Linked DNA regions of Drosophila melanogaster. The gene in region 1 interacts genetically with each later gene. Each region holds a gene or a part of one and is shown in the gene's direction. Other genes may lie near its edges.

What was found.
Region 2: of Ser (region 1) and Ndfip, changing one suppresses a phenotype caused by changing the other (phenotypic suppression), as found in Drosophila melanogaster (one study listed by BioGRID).
Region 3: of Ser (region 1) and neur, changing one enhances a phenotype caused by changing the other (phenotypic enhancement), as found in Drosophila melanogaster (one study listed by BioGRID).

The regions. Positions count from the first base shown.
Region 1 is NT_033777.3:27,191,247-27,196,161, reverse strand, and holds the start of Ser (serrate), read left to right. Parts: upstream 1-1,894; 5' UTR 1,895-2,218; intron 2,219-4,037; 5' UTR 4,038-4,419; coding exon 4,420-4,656; intron 4,657-4,915.
Region 2 is NT_037436.4:17,648,244-17,656,116, reverse strand, and holds the start of Ndfip (Nedd4 family interacting protein), read left to right. Parts: upstream 1-1,836; 5' UTR 1,837-2,125; intron 2,126-5,490; exon of another isoform or gene 5,491-5,584; coding exon of another isoform or gene 5,585-6,238; exon of another isoform or gene 6,239-6,555; intron 6,556-6,870; 5' UTR 6,871-6,872; coding exon 6,873-7,676; 3' UTR 7,677-7,873. Other genes in the region: CG7484 (uncharacterized protein), read right to left, coding at 521-899, 1,217-1,335, 1,391-1,429; Krn (keren), read left to right, coding at 5,585-6,238.
Region 3 is NT_033777.3:9,030,695-9,035,355, reverse strand, and holds the start of neur (neuralized), read left to right. Parts: upstream 1-1,624; 5' UTR 1,625-1,906; coding exon 1,907-2,177; intron 2,178-4,661. UniProt on the Drosophila melanogaster protein: Involved in neurogenesis. Interacts with other neurogenic proteins in the specification of the neuroblast versus epidermoblast cell fate.

The DNA.
Region 1 (4,915 bases):
TGTGTGCCAATAAAAGCCTTCGTAAACAACTAACCTAAGGCAATGATTCTCCGGACGAAGGGCGGCCACTATGTGGCAACCACTAAACCACCAGAAACCACTAACCGCAAACAGCCACCACAACGGCAGCAGGAGGAGTGAAAAATTAAAAAAGAAAAACGAGGAGGCGGAAAAAACACTTGAAAAATCTGTCATAAAATGTTGAGTGGTGTAAAACCAACTGGTTGAAATTGCCAACATATTTGCCTGTTTGTTTAATGAACTCGCCCAACGAGGGTTTTTTTGGTTTGAGGGGGTGAACCTTTGTCAAGAGGGTGGGTTTAACATTTTGATTACTCAATATGTTTGATTTTATGGATTTATGCCACCGCTCTGGTCCACTTTTGCAGCTGTTACATGTGACAGTAAAACCAAAAAACACAAAAACACTTGGCCGGAAAACGAAAGCTAATCCCAAAAAAGAAATGCCATCAAACCCGAACAAGTGTCCAACAAGCCGCCAACACAGAGTGCCCCCAAATTATGAGAGACGCGCACAAAGACACCTGTAAGTCGTTGTCTGCTATTAGTTGAAATCAAAACGAAAACAATGTAAGCCACAGTGAGCAAAAATAATATCTCTGGGGAGCACCAGCTCGAAGTCTCTGGAGGCTGATGGCTGAAGGCTGTAGTCTGCTGGCCACCAACGCAAAGCTGGTCGTCGCCTTTTAGCCAATTTTGATATAACTGAAAGCGTCAATTATACGTGAAATTTATGATGCCGTGTGAAGAATAACACCAACTTGCAACATATTTGGACAACGAAGCCGTTGCCATTGCCGCTGGCAGTTGCCTTTGCCGTTGCCGTCTCGGTGGCCCGTACAATTGCCGCTCTGGGGTCTCTTGTCGCAGATATGTAAGCTGATAATGGGCATTGTAGTGCAGTTTTTCTTCCATTTCTTCTGTTTTTTTTTTCTTCTTTTTTTTTAAGCGAGAAAAGATGACAAAGGAGCTGGGAGACCGCTGCCCAGTACGCCCACCAAATAGAGGAGGATGGAGACCCAAATGGCCAGGGAGACGGCTAGAGAAGACATTTTGGGCACACACCAAGTCAATTTGTTTTATCTATTGTCGAACAAGAGTCATGTCACAACGGCACAATGAGATTTACTATGTGTTGTTGCAGTTGTTGAGGCAGCAGCAGTTGTTGCTGCTGCTGTTGTTGCTGTGGTGGGCAGACAATGGAAAATCAGCAACATGATTCGATATTTAGATATGCGCCTCAAGAAATATGAGCCGCTAACAACAACAGTAAGGTAGGCAGCAGCAACAACAAAGATGCTGCCGCCTGTCTTGTTGGCCGCATGTAATTGCCAAGTTTGTTGCTTAAGTCTTTTGTTTTGGCTGCACTGATAGGCCAGTTGCATTTAAATTTGATTTATACACTTTTGGCCAGCAGATAATTGGATGGAAGTCGCCGCTCTGTCTGTGTGGTTAATAATTGGCCGATGCTAGTATCTTTCGATTTGGTTCCCAGCCGTTAAAGATTGTGGGAGCGTTCCTTCATATTAGGTGTTAATTGCCAGTCCCTTGGAGCTACTAGATCTGGAGCACACACACACATACACACACAGCCCCAGAATGCACTTATTGGCATAATTAAGTTGGAATCGTAAAAAACGGCAGCCGAGAGCCTCGGGCGCGCATGCGTGCAGCAGCCGAAGCGGCAGCAACTCCATTAACTGCCGATTCTGATTCAGATTCCGGGCCCCGGGGCTATATACAGTCGTACGACCAATCAGCGGCTGGCTAAAGAGCACTGCACGAAGAGCAAACTGGTTTTCTTCAAAGAGAAGCACAGAGAGAATCGCTGCGAGTTAAGCTCTCGGGATCGACGGCAACTTGTGCCCAGAGGCAATCAGTCGTTAGTCGAAGCCTGAAGCGCACGCAGCACTCAGCGGAAGTCGTCGCCAGTTTATTTTGAAAGCGGTTTCGGTGGTTCAGACCGAGCCACAGTTCTCTTAAGACTGCAGATCACCACCACCACCACCACCACCAGCAGCAGCAGCGACAGCTCACCTCACCACCTTTACCACCACCAAAACCGCAGCTCTCTCGCGTGACTTGCTCCGCCCCGTGAATGGATGCTGCTCGAGGGCTGGAAATGCCGCAGGATTCGGTTAACGCGTTTAGTCGAGCGCCGTGCTTCGAGCGGTGATGAGCCCCTTTTCTGTCAACGGTAAAACCCCTCCTCGAATTGGATTATTGTGCACCCAAACTGAACGCCACCGACCATCATCCATATAACAATTGTGAAAGTGTTTAATGTGCCGCAATCGAATTAAATTGCTTGCTGATTACAACAAATGATGAAGAGCAATCAACTACAAATGCTCGGTGGAAGAAAAGCAAATCGAAAGATCGACAATCAGCCGACATTTTGCTATGTGTGTGTTTCCATAGTGTGTGATTAATTTCTGAGCCCAGATCGTGTGAGCTAAGGAAAACGGAAATACCTTTCAATTAAATACAATACATTAATATATCAAAATACAATGCCGTCAAAATTGTGTTTAATCAAAGGCGAAAAGTAAAAGTGCAAACAATGTGAATATGCGAAAACGAGTGCCCCATTCCGGGGGAATCGCTGGCCACAGTGTGCTCCATTGATAACGCACACAGGGACGCAAAACAGGGACACAAACACACGAAGCTACAACTACGAAGTGGAATTGAAACATGCCAAGTGAAAGGGAGAAAGAATGAAAACATCCGACTAGTTCATAATGCACGCAGATAATACAAATAATAATAATAATGGGCGCACATAGAGAAATTTCCACTAGAACTTAATAAGTGGGATTCCCAAACAACCTATTGAAAGTATTTGACTTTCTAAAAGCGATGCTTAACACGGATTTTTTTTTCTAAATTTAAAGAATTTTGAATTGAATAACAAATGTTTTATTAGAAAGTTAAAGAACTTTCCGTATAGATGAAGTAGTGTAGTTTTCTTCTGTGCACCGGGAGAAAAGAGAGATTGTGAAATCAGTTTGGTTCTGAATGGGTGGTACGAGCATGGGAAAGCCCCTGATCAAGAGAGCGCGGAAAATGCTCGATGCACTGCTCAATGATTTACCATATGCAACGAATAACGGATCTAGCACGGTCCAAAGCTTATTCAGATCGTTAAGTTCAAGACGGTGATCTGGTTGCACAATTATTTGATAAATCAGAGTATATCCAGAAGTTACTAGAAATAGAAATGGATACACGGTATACTAAAGTTTTGAGGCCGCTAGAAGTTCATTCATCGTTTTGCAAATTGCCAAGAGAGAAGAGTGAAAGTAGCGGTATTAGGGGGTATTAAGGGGGAGGTAGCTGCATCATCCACTTGCAAAAGCCACTTCCGGTCATGCCCTGCAGCAGCAGCAACATCCACATCAGCGGCAGCAGCAGCAGCAGCATGAGCAAGAGCGGCAGCATCTGGGTTTCGATTCAAAGTCAACGACTTCCGTTCCGTGCCAAAGCCGGGAGGAGGCCCCAAGCAAATTACTTAATTAAATGGACAATTAACACCCGAGCAGGAGGAACCGGGGCGGGCTGGGGGGCTAAAGGCCATGGGAGGATAGGATGGCCGGAATGGCAAAAGCAGCGGCAGGGTGGGAAGAATGAGTAATGTGAGCAAGAGTGAAAATATCTGTAAATTAATATGCGCACAAGATGCAAATTGTTTGTGGCCAAAGACACGGCTCCATAGTCGCAGCAGCAGCAACTGCAGAAGCAGCCACATCAGCAGCGGCAGTAACAGCGTTAAATTAACATAAATTGAATTGCATTTGCATTTGCTGCACGTTGCCGCTTTTTGCGGTCTGGCAAAAGTAAATGTTGCTGCGGTGGCTGGTGGCACTTGTTGCGGCTTGCTGCGGTTGCCGCTACTGCAACTGCAACTGCAGCAGCAGCAGCATCATCTGCGTGTCAATTAGCGTTGATGATGCACAGTGAAATAGATTTTGCGCAGCCCGTTTCAATTCCAATTCGTTCGACAATTGTTACAGCTAAAGATCTACAAAACATCAGCGCCTATCAAGTGGAAGTGTCAAGTGTGAACAAAACAAAAACGAGAGAAGCACATACTAAGGTCCATATAAATAATAAATAATAATTGTGTGTGATAACAACATTATCCAAACAAAACCAAACAAAACGAAGGCAAAGTGGAGAAAATGATACAGCATCCAGAGTACGGCCAGTTATTCAGCTATCCAGAGCAAGTGTAGTGTGGCAAAATAGAAACAAACAAAGGCACCAAAATCTGCATACATGGGCTAATTAAGGCTGCCCAGCGAATTTACATTTGTGTGGTGCCAATCCAGAGTGAATCCGAAACAAACTCCATCTAGATCGCCAACCAGCATCACGCTCGCAAACGCCCCCAGAATGTACAAAATGTTTAGGAAACATTTTCGGCGAAAACCAGCTACGTCGTCGTCGTTGGAGTCAACAATAGAATCAGCAGACAGCCTGGGAATGTCCAAGAAGACGGCGACAAAAAGGCAGCGTCCGAGGCATCGGGTACCCAAAATCGCGACCCTGCCATCGACGATCCGCGATTGTCGATCATTAAAGTCTGCCTGCAACTTAATTGCTTTAATTTTAATACTGTTAGTCCATAAGGTAAGCAAACCAACCAACATGCAAAAAACGATCGAATCCCCAAAGCAATAATCGCAAAAAGCCCCAGATCCAAATACATGCGGGTGTAGTGTCTCGTCAAAAAGGCCAAAAGAAAACAGACAAAGTTGATTCAACCCATGCGAATTGGCAATGGCTGAGGGCAAAGTTTTGATGGGGGACGTAAATAATGATGATTTTTGGGTTTATTTTTTTGAGTGATTTATCAACTCCGCATCCCGAAGAGCTGTCTTTAATGAGA
Region 2 (7,873 bases), on another chromosome or scaffold:
GTGTGGTGTGATGTCTTTGCGATAAGAATTTCGGCTACAATGCCGCGAATTTGTTGCCTCAGCCGGGAACTTTCCTTTGCCATCGATAACAAGATAACAAATAAAATGATTTAATTTATACTTATGAATCGAAAACTCCCACGGCGTCGCATTGCAGTAACTGGCTTGTCAGTTACTCTCAAACTGTGTCCACAGCTTTTCCGCGGTGGCGCGTAGAAAAGCTCACGCCACCTTGCAGTGGCTCTAAAAACTTTTAAAAACTAAATCTCTTTAGTTAGATTAGATCTCTCATATTACAAGCCAATTTTATGTATATCCCTGATCTTGATGTTTATATTTTTTAAATTCAGTGGCTTGACATCCCAGAAGTTTGGAGTACTAATCTCACGTCTACACATTTTTAGTTCTTGAACAGAATATATTTAACAAAATATAAATATTCAATGATTTTGAAAGAAAATGGTACGGTCTATAGTTTTGTTTCGGATTTTATTAATCTACAGTTTTGGGTATGCTTATTTTAGATCCTGTTGGTTCGCAGGTAATCTTCATCGTCATCTCCATCGGCATCCTCCACCACGCTGTACGAATTCTTGCCGGCACCATCCTTGGCCAGATGCGTTTCGAAGAACTCCTCGACAGTGTCTGTGTTCCACTTGGTTATGGACAACGTCTCCTGCACTTTGCCACTGGCATCTAGGAGCTTAACCACGGGATCCAGTCCTCTTACGTATTTGATCTGCAGGTTGGGGAACTTGGCAGGTCGGCCGCTTTGAATAAAGGCCTGAATCTGCGGATAGGCCCGGAATTTGCAGGTGCACACCTCCAGAATTGCCTTGGCATATGTCCGCTGTGCCGCCGGCTGCTGATCCAAAGTGCAGCATTGCTTACACTGAGGCCTGAAATGTTAAAAATGTTTTGGATGAATAAAAAAGAGCAATGGGCTCAAGCAGAAACTATAAAAAGTTAATATAATTTTTGTTATTAAAAACTGAAGGAAGAATCATATTTAGTCAGTGGTATGGAGGAGCTTACTAAGTCAAGCTAAGCATTTTTGGTTGGAATATTTAAAATGAGGTATGAAATTTAACCTGATCTAATTAGATTAACATATTAATTAAACAATTTTCAGGTCTTCTTATGGAATGATTATAGCATAGTTCATGGGTATCTTTACAACTCCAAAGCTAGATTAATTAAATGTTATTGAACCCACTTGATGGTATCCAATCCGAAATCATCCAGTTTTTCGCAACTGGAACACATTAACTGGGCCTTAATAAAACCCAACGCCCGGCAGTCGGCGGCCGTCAATTCGGCTTGAATTTGCTGGCACTGTAGGGTATAAAATATATATTAAAAACATGTCTTAGCTTCAGACATAACTTACACTTAAAGCCAGTAGAAGAAATATAGCACATTTATGCATTTTTGTGGCTAAATTCTAATTAAATTTACTACGTCCACGTCGTTGTTTACAAAATTTTCTTAGCTTAGTGATGAGTAGAAGGGAAAATAACATTATTTAGGCTTATCGATTATATTCGGGTTGCTTGTCTTTTCATCGTTTAGGGTATTCCGTATACTGTTTATGAATTAGACAATTAATCAAACTTTTGAACAGCTTTAATAAACTTATTATTATTATTTCTTGATATTTTTTCAGCAATTTGAAACTTTTGTCACTATAAAAGTGTACAAAATAATTTCAGGTTTTTATATTCAAGTACGCAAGTTTATTTTCCGATGTTAATAACTAATTTCATGTGATTCGATAGCTTATCACGCTTACATCCCTACAATCGATACGGACTGCCCAGCAGCTGGCCACCACTAGCTCAGAAATCGAAGATTATTCGTGGTGGTGCATTTGTTTTTTTCGCTTCGCTCGCGAAGTGAGCCCAGTTTTAAATTATTTAAATTGCGTATAGTGAAGCCACTTGAAAGCGAAACGCCTACTGTCGCAGTTCTGCCAAAAAACCAACAGTATTAGCTGTGTGCGTGTTTGGCAACAACAAGTCAACAAAATTCGAACAAAATCAATAAAACGGAAACGTGAGAGAGCGCTGCGCAAAAGAGAAAAGCGAACGCAATCGCAATCGACCAACGCATAGAAGAAAACAAGGTGAATAAATAGAACATGGCATAGAAAAGGCGAACTAGAATCAAATCGAATTAAAATCGGGTACAGAAATAGACGTGAAAAGAAAGGGCGAAGAAAGGGAAACAAATAACCGTTACAGGAGCACTCCTGGAGATTTAAGGCTCTCTCTCCCCCTCCTCAGCACTTTAGCCCCAGTTGTGCGTTTGTGTGTGTACATGTGTTTATGTTTTGTTTAGCACATTAATAATCTTAATTCTGCTAGATTTCGCCACTCAGGTGCTAAACGCTAAAAAAAAAAGTGCACACTCCGATAAGTCTACCCCTGTGTCGGTGTACTTGTTTATTTAATTCATATTTACTCAAGTAAATTAATTCATTTGCCCTTGTACAATAACAACAAGCGCCGTTTGCTTGGAAACTCGTTCTCGCAGTCGACCGCCTCCCCTCTTCGCTCCTAATCTTATTCTTTCTCTATTCCACTGCAATACCACTGCAGCTGTCGGTGCCTGTGTGTTTTTCATTCAATCCAGGAAATTGCCCCTTGAGAGACCTTCCATTCAGACAGCTCCATCTGCATCTTCTTCAGCTTCTTCCGCTTGCATCTTCATCCTCTCTCTTGTGCTCCCGGTCCCGTTTAACTGGTTTACTTTATGCTTTATTCCACTGATGCCTCCTCTATCGCCCTCTCCCTTGCGCACACCTGCTGCTTGGCAGCTGTCCACGCGCTCAAATTTCTTATCACCGAACAAACTCCGGCTGAAACCCAAAACCTGGCCCAAACTGCGTTGTTACTTTTCCACGGCAATTCCCTAATTTCCAACGCCTTTTGTCACGGCCCTGTTGCTTTCTCCCTCTCGAGAGCTCTAACTCCCTCTCCAATCCTATTTTTACATACACGCATACGCAGTAAAACTTGGCTATGACAAACCACATATTATTCTATAGATACCAAATACTGTTTTTTTAATACTGTATATTGTTAGATACAAAAACACTTTTGGAATTACAAATCCAGATGGAATTATTAAAAAAAAATATGTATATATTTTGCACAAAATTTCTCATCTGTTTCAAAGGTAATTCCATATGTGTTGACATTTAGAAATGTAAAAGCTTTTCTATTTATTTTAAAGATTCAAAAATTATTTTTAGCCGAATGCATACGCATTAAAAGCAAATCGATTTATTCGGTTTAAACATCTATTGTTTTTCAATGGAAAAACCAGTGTATTTTCCAGAGAACCTTACCTAAGTTTTTATATGTATATATTACATTGAAAATAATTATATGCCAGCTTTGAAGCATGTTAACGATAAGTGTACTTGAGCCCGATTGTTAGTGAATTCTTAAAAAATAAGAATGAGCAAAGTCGCTTTACATTGGGATTGATTGTGAAATCCTCCAAATCTTTGTGTGTCACTATAGAGTCTTATTTAAAATGATATTACCAAATGTATTGGCAAAACGCAGATAAGTTCAACTGTACAATGTGCAATCTCTCGGTTTCGTGCAATTTTGCAATTTTTCAAATGCCCGCACATCTGACTCATCCACAGGTAACTGTAATTACTGCCTAGCATCCACTTGCTTTCCGCACCTGTGGATGGTATTTGTCACCTTATCAATACGGTTTCTCTGTGTTGACTGTGATTTTAGATATTCCTGCGCACGAAAAAAATTGGACACCTCTAAATTTAATTATACAAATAGTACTGTTTATGTTTTCCTATATTTATTGAAGTATTTTAAAGTGTGTATACAAAAGTAATTATTGAGTGCATATGAAACCAAAGTCTTTTGTATTCTGATACAAAAATCATATCATATATGATATCAAAATTTATTTCTGTGTACTCTGCTGTTTGTGAGGTCAATTTTTGATAAGCCACCAGGTGCTCATTTAGCTCGTTGGCGCCTATTAGCTCATTATTCAAGCTTACGTCCGGCTCACCCACATACCCACAGATATAAAAAAAAACTATACAAAAAACCCATATATGCACTCGCAGAAATTAGGGCCAACTTAAGCCCACTCACGCAGTTTCTTTATTGGCTTGAACTATTTTTGTTTTGCTCGTTTGGCTCCGTTTATATTTCAATTGACCGAAAGGTCATCTTAATTGCATTTGTGTTTTGCGACTGTCGCACTGTCCTACTCGCACTCGCACTCGCACTCTTCTCCTGCCATTTCAGCTGTCAACTTTCACTCGTGAGCTTTGTTGTTGTTATTTTTAGACGTAGGTGCGTGCCACACATGTGATGGGAGGAAAGGGGAAATTTTATGGGGCTTAGGGCTCCGTTGAGCTTTACAAAGCAATTGGACACGGTTTAGTCCAAGGACTCGCGACTGTGGATTGAGATTCCGACTAGTGACGAGAGTCCTAGAAAATAAAAGCTAAATGCTATCTTATATATAATTGACTGTTTGAAATAAAGTACAAATATTAGATTTAATGTGCTAACATCCAAACAGGTGACGAAAGCAAAACTTTTTAAAACGAAGTGTATATTTATTATAATTGCAACTGTTTCGCTCTTCTTTCCTTCACTTCCAAGTAGAAGAATATAACTTTAGTTTTGATTAATAATGTAATATTGCATGTTTGAATAAAAAAATAGTTCAATTTCACTGACATATTTCCTAATATAAATTTAGACAGTTAAGTTGGCATGACTAGCGTTTATTGAAAGCACTTAGAAAGTTTTAATTTACGTTAAGTGGAATTCCGAAAATTAGTGTTTCTGAAAACGACACTGTTATTGTGGATCACAACTAAGGCGAGCACTAATTTGTTTATGTTTTTTACGCCCACTCAAATGGTCGCCACTCAAATGTTGCTTACAAATGATGTATTTGTTTCAGCAGAATTACTCAACATCGTTGTTTCTGTTGATCATTCGAATTATTTTGTTTATATACGCAACGGGATCAGTTACATTCTAATGAAGCTCATTCTTTCTCCGGAAAAGATCTTGTTTATAACAAGGCGTTTCGAAATCCTAAGGTTAAATCAATTTTTTATACGTTTAAATACATCTTGTATTAAACAGTTTTTATATATTGAAGTGCCTGAAGTGTTCGCTATGTTAAGTGAGAGTGTAAACAGAAAAACCAATTGATAATGAATGCAGGCTGTGCAAATGCCACAGCCGCTTGGGTTCCGCTCGCGATTCCGGCCAGGTAAATAAACGATGTCATTTTTTTGTTAAAAATTTATGAAATTCGATTTTCTGTTTCTCGTTCTCACTTAGGTCGAGGAGCATAGGTTGTAATTGTGAGAAGGAGGCGGCTGGCGGTGCTAGGCAGGCAATTAACCCACACAGACCCGAACACGAGCTTACATTTTTGATTTGTTTTTAATTGCACTTCGTTTTTGTTTTGCAGCCGCCTGCCAGCCAAAGCCAAGAATTCCACATTACAAAACACCTTAAACTGCATTGCCACATTCCCAAGTAAGCTGCCATGAGTTAAGATCAAGATGCGAGCCCAGGATCTGCTGCTGCTTGCCACCGCTTTAATCGGCGCTTACCTACCGCTCACCGCCGCCTGTTCCTCGCGTGCCATCGCTAAGCCGCGGCCAACAGCTGCACCGATCCTGCCGCCGGATAATGTGGAAATATCCACAACGCCGAGACCGAATGTCACCTTCCCGATCTTCGCCTGTCCACCGACCTATGTCGCCTGGTATTGCCTGAACGATGGCACCTGCTTTACGGTGAAGATCCACAATGAAATCCTATACAACTGCGAATGTGCGCTGGGATTTATGGGTCCGAGGTGCGAGTACAAGGAGATTGATGGCTCGTACCTGCCAACCAGGAACCGTGTGATGCTAGAGAAGGCCAGCATTGTTAGCGGAGCAACGCTGGCCCTTCTGTTTATGGCCATGTGCTGTGTGGTTTTGTATCTGCGACACGAGAAGCTGCAAAAACAAAAGCTGCACGACAGCACCACAACCACAACGACCGACGGTGGCTGTCAGAACGAGGGCATGGACGAGGTGGATGGCTTGCGACCCTTACGTCCAGTGAGACGTCCCTTTGGACCCTGCCGCATCCTATCGCTGGAGGAGGCCCACCTTCAAGCGAAAGCCTCCAATCGCCCCAGGCATTGCAACGAACTTTTGCGCTAACTAATTAGCCTGGCTGCTCATTTGTTTTTAAATGTCTAACATGTCCAACTGTTTATTTTAACTGCTAAACGAAACTATTATTTTTGCCATCTGATTGAGATGGCGAATGCCGTAGTTCTAAGTGCCTACTGACGTGCCTATAACACATTTAGATCAAGTATTAACGAACGAAAACTGATTGCTCAGAGAGAGATAAAAATAAATCTAGATATAATTCAATGCAATTTTGGCAGCTAGCCGCCCATTTATTTATTATACACCTAATTTTATTAAAAAAAAAAACGCGTGAACTAATATCGTCAATAAAAGCGAGAACTAAATCACCAGCTTTACTTTCAATTTAGATAATGCAAATTTCGAATACCTTTAGAATTTGATTGGGAATAGTTTGCACAAAATTCACCATGGCCTTGATTTTCCTTTTATTTCAGAGATGCATGTAAATACTAAACAGTTGATCTGTTAAGCTACACGAAAATAAGGATATCTTAAATTTAGTATGTAAGAAAGAAAAGAATTTCTTAAGAATCTTCTTTTCTGAGACGTCACCTTAGGCTGTCAAAAAAATTCATATGCTTTGTAACCCCTTAAGCACTGAATTAATTTTCCCGTTTTCCGTTTGTAATTTCCAGTCATGCCGCACAACAACCAGCCGTCTCCCGGGGATGATCAGTTGGGACCGCCAAAGGCGGACTTCAGTGCTCCGCCACCGTACGAGGCGAACGTTGGCCATGGCCAGCAGGTAGCACTGCCGGCTCAGATGCCACCGCTGGCCTTGGCCACACCCGATCCCAGTCAGATCCCGATACAGATGCAAGTGCAGCTGCCGAGCCAGGCGGACCTTATGAATGCACAACTGCCGCCAGAAATACACGGGAAGTTGCCCACGTACGAGGAGGTTCAAATGGAAAAGTCGCTGAACGGAGAGCTGCCGCCCGCCTTTTTGACTTTACCCTCCTCGCAGCAGCTACCGCCGCCGCCGAATCCGCTACTGCCGCCAAATCCGCTGCGCGATGGAGCCGCTGCTGTGCGATCTGCCCAGCCGGCACTCACGTTCATCGCCATCGATGCCAGCGATCCGGAAAATAGTCTGTCCACCACCGACAACTTGCTCGGCACGGACATCATGTTCATCACGGCCTTCATTGTGGCCTTTTTGTTTAACTGGATCGGCTTCCTGATGCTCACCTGTTTCTGTCACACAATCGCCGCCCGATATGGAGCATTGTCGGGATTCGGATTGTCGCTGGCTAAATGGACGCTGATCGTGAAGCACTCGACGGACTTGGCCTCGCACGAAAACTCCTGGCTCTGGTGGCTGATCTGTGCCTTTGGCTTCCTGATCAGCATACGCGCTTTAATACAGTATGTCAGCATCAAGCGATCGTGGCGCCTCCTTTCCGCCTCTGCCCAGGAACGGCTGCTATTCTTTTACTAGGTGCACCTGGAGGCTTTCCAGTGGTCGTCTTGTAAATACGTTGTGGGTGGCTAGGAGGCTCGAATGCTACCAACCAACCGATCCCAACACCCTCTATTCCCCAGACCCAGCACACGAAAAATCAACGCGAACTTATTTTGCAGAGTTCTCGAAATCACTATGGACTTGAAAGTATTCCCTCAAATGTATTAGTCAAT
Region 3 (4,661 bases), about 18 Mb from region 1:
GATCACTGTATTCTTTGACAATTTTTGGGGTTGTTCGTTGGTCTCGATGTCTGCCGGTTCCTGTTTCGCCAACATCACCTTCTCCGACCTTTTTTGCATTTTTGCAAACTGAGCGAACAGGAGGGGGAAATCGGGTAAGCAGCAGCAGATGTATTTCCAGGACGCACGCCTGCTGCCAGGATGCTGAATATGCATTTCCACTTTAATATCAAAATTTAAATGCTTTCTGCCCCGTCTTGATCCCTTCCGATCTTGAAAATTGCATCTGCTGTGAGGTCTGCCCGGTTCCGTCTGTCGATGCAGGACAAAAAGGACGAGGATGAGGATAAGGAGCGCTCGGCGCAATTATCATCCTCCATCAATGGCAGCGTGGCATCCATAAAGGATAAAGGATGATCAGACGCCAGACGGCAGTTATCCTGCTGACCACAATGCTAAAGCTTAGCAAATGAGACCACAATAGCATGTGTCCCAGATCATAGGTACATTTTTTTAAATTCTGTGTAAGCTAATGGTTTCAAAACTGGGAATTGAGTTACAAACTTTCCATTTCATTTTATAATCTTTATAGTGCAAACTTAAAAAATCAAAACAAAAACAAATCTCGTTTCATATTCTCTATTAAAATAAATTGCACATACAAAATGGACAATTAAATGTGCCGAAAACAATTGGGAAAAGAAGAAATTTATTATTATTATCAAGAAACGTTTGGGAATTTTTTTTAATTCCCATGGAATTACTCCATACATACTCCAACTGAGTACATACATACACACATATGTATGTACGTGTGATATTTGGCCCACAAAGTTCACGATCAAAAGCATTAGGGCAATTGAAATAGTTTTCTAGTTATATGAGCCAGACCTTGTAAACCCTGCGAAAAAGAAAAAGAATTGCTTTGAACCTGGCTGAACTACACACACACTAAGGTGAGGAGAATAACTGTTAGTGAAGATCAGAGCACTATGGCCAAAATCCCAAATGCAGGCCTAGAGCAACAACAACAAGAAGCAGGAAGAGCAACAGCAGGAGAAGATGTGGAGGAATCCCTGATCAAGGTGCAGAGTTAGAGGCATAAAGGTAAATTATAAGGGAGGCTCTATACACGCGAATAGCAGGCACAAAGCGAAACCATAGTAAATAAGAAACAGCTGCCAGAGAGAGAAAGAGAGCGATGGCGTCTCATAATTTTCTCTCTTGAGCTCTCTTTTTCGCTCCATCCACGCTCAGGGCTGACAGCCCTTAGCCAGAAAATGGATAAATTTTAAATTATTTGAATAGATTGCTTACAAATTATAAGTTTAAATAAATTGAAGCATTTTTAATGTAATTTAGTTACCGTTTCTTGATTTTAATTAAATTGTAAAACAGGAAATGTTATTCAAATCTACAGCCCAAATTGTCACTAAACGTTAATAGTAATTATAAAAAACTTAAATTTCCAAATATGTCTTACTGGCATACCTAAACTTCTAAATATCTTGAAAACATATACTAAAAAAAGCCAAATCTGACGGGAGAATTTCTGCGCGCCAGTACTATCCGTTACTCTCCAGCTGAGCTGCGTCAGCGACGTCGCGCTGGTGCGAAGCTATAAAAGGCTGCACCACCGTTTATTTGTTGAAAAAAAACTCAGCGAAAGGTTGTCTCGAAGTTGTCGTCGTCGGTCTTTGTGTTTCGTATCGTTTCGTTTCGTTTGTTCCCGTTGCGCGCAGACAAACAACCAACCAAATTCAAAATGTTTTAACGGAAAACATTCAAATTCGAAGAAGAACTCTATCGCTTAATTTAATGCCAAATAAAATACGCAAGCAGCTTGTGCATTTTCATTAGCATTACGCGTGTTCGTTTAGTTCGTCTGTTTTAATTTAAATAACGAAATAAGAAATAATCCACTACCATGGGTCTATCGGATATACCAGCCAACTATATGCAGGGCAGCCATCCGCACCTAACTCTCCATCCGCAGCAGCAGCACCACCAGAATCAGCAGCACTTGCAGCATCTGCAACAGATGCAGCAGCTGCACAACGCCATGCCCACTCCCGCCCAGCAGGCCGCCCAGGTCCTGGCCATGGAGTCCAACGAGCTGCTCATGAGCACCAAGGACAAGCTCTCTAGCAAGAAGAAAATGCACTTGCTCAAGAAGATCAAGAAGCGCTTTGGATTGGGTTAGTAGTCGCATTAGTACCAGGCTAAGAATCGGGCTAAGGATATCGATGGATATATTAACAAGAATATTCAGTTAATTTCCAAGTCGTTTTTCAAAGGACGTACAATTCTCGGAATATCCAGGAATAATTTTTAAAATCAGTGTGATTGGGTTCTAAAGTAGATGTAGTACATTTTAACAATATAAAACTTCCTTCGTGATATCTGACCATTAAAGTCTTGAAGCAAATGTAATTACCGCGTGCGAAAATGCCTTAAATACATTATTCATCGATCTGGGAATCGTATTTTTATCTCCAGCGATATTCCCACATAATATTAGCATGTGGTCTGACCTATCGCTCTTTCATTCATTCGGTTAATTAAAGCGGCAAGATAAATAAGCGAGAAACACAGCCAGCCGCAATCATTTATGCATACATTAGCATTTTACGTCTCAAGAACAATAACAAATAACGAAAGATAAGAGCAAAAACCGAAAAAGTTTGAGTTAGTTTAAAACAAAAAGCTAATGAATAAATGCTCACCCAGAACACGCCCAGTTTGCGATTATAATAGTAATTGTTTTTTTCCGACTAGATAGACACAAAAGAAGCGCGAAAAAATCTTAAATGTGAAATTCTCTCAAGGCTTTTTCGGCAGAATTTAACATCGACACTCCGACTTTTTCGCCGGAAATGTCAGTTCTCGAAAACTGAATTTTTCAATCGCACCCAAGTAACCGCAAATTGATCGAGAAGACCAGATCGGAGGGATCTTGAGTTGAAGAAAATACCACCAAAAGCAATTTTCCCAAGGAGCGATTATGTTTATCATAACGATTATCTGGGCTGGGGAATTTGTTGCGCTGTTTTTGTTTTGGTTGCAAGCAGCTGAGCTAAGGAAAGACAAAAAAAAAGAAGTAAAAACAACAAATCACCTTTTTTTTTTGACTTTGGCTCAATTGCATTCTCGGCTTCAATGCTCTCTTTTTTGGCCAAAGCAGGCGAAGCAAAAGCAAAGCAAAGCCAGTGACGCATAGGCTAAGCTTCTACCCCTTTTTTTTTTATTTTTACTGGCCTCCTACGAACAATTGTGGTCGCACAACTAGCAGTCGAATATCAACGAACGACGCAATATGAATAATAAAAAAAAGTTATTAATTTAGTCCTTCAGCACTGGAATAGTTTTATTTGTCAAAAGTGGCTATGCAAAATATTGTACTGTATTTAAGAGATTCCATTTTTCCCGCCACCACTGTTTTTGCATCTGCCTCATTCAGTATTGCTTGTTGTTGTTGCTGTTGCCTTTCGGGGAATTGTACGCGAAGCGCCGTTGCCGCCATCGGCAAAAGCAAAAACAAAGGTAGCAACAACAGAAAAGCAAACGATCCACGGCAGGAGAAGAAGAGAAGAGCCATGGACTAGCGGGATGAGAAGAGGAAGAGGCGTGGCTTTGAAGCTTGAGTGTGTTTGGAGTTTTTATTTTTCTGCTGAGCGCTTAAGCCCGCAATGGTTTATGTTTTATGCGGCGGCTCCAGTCCGTTTGTTTTGAACGTGCGTTGCCTATCGGTAATCAATGAAATTGCTTTGTTGTTGTTTTGCTCGGCGTCAGCTGCTTTTGCTTTTTTGTACCTGCATTTTCTATTACATTTCGTACCTTGTTTGTTGTTGTTATTATTATTGTGTGTTGGCATGCCACGTTTGCTTTGGCTAAAAAGTTTATCTGCTCTTGGCTTTTACTTAGCTTCTCACGGTTTACTTTTCGAAATGGTTTGCTTGGCCGTGCGTGTGCTTGCAACTGAGCACTGCCAACTCGTCTTTGAGACCCCGATTATGGGACACACAAATACAAATTGTCGCCCGACCTTCGATTGTTGGCCAAAAGTAAATAGTCAATTGTTAATGACGGTACGCACCCCCCAAGGAAGTTTGTACATATAAGTACATATCTAAGTACAATGTTGGTCACCATAAATATACATACATTAACTTCTGAGACCTAAAATGTTATTCTATTAAGTTCAAAATATGTAAGTCGCCGCTTAAAAACAAATTTCTGTAAACATAATGTTTAAGAGACATTTTGCTAATATTGCTTCAATATTAACATATTATTGTTGATTTCCCAGTAAGCCATTTTCTGTTGAGCACAGTTGTATGCTGAGCATTTTCGCTACATACATCTGTTGCTATATTTTTCCACTTTCATGCATCCCCTTCGTTATTTTTTCACTTATTTTTCTCCCCCTCATGAGGTCATCATCTCGATGTGTCATTCTGAAGTTTGCGTATAGTTATTGTAGTATAGTATAGTTCATATAGCTGATATGAAGCACTGCTTAATTTCGCGCTTTGATAACGGACACTGCGAAATGTTATCTCTACAAGTGTAAACGTTTTGCAACTGATTAACTATAAATACCAGTTGTTAACTATTGGGGATATACACAAAGATGCTTGTGCTAACTTTGCTAGCTTTTTTCTAAAGAGCTAGCTATCTTG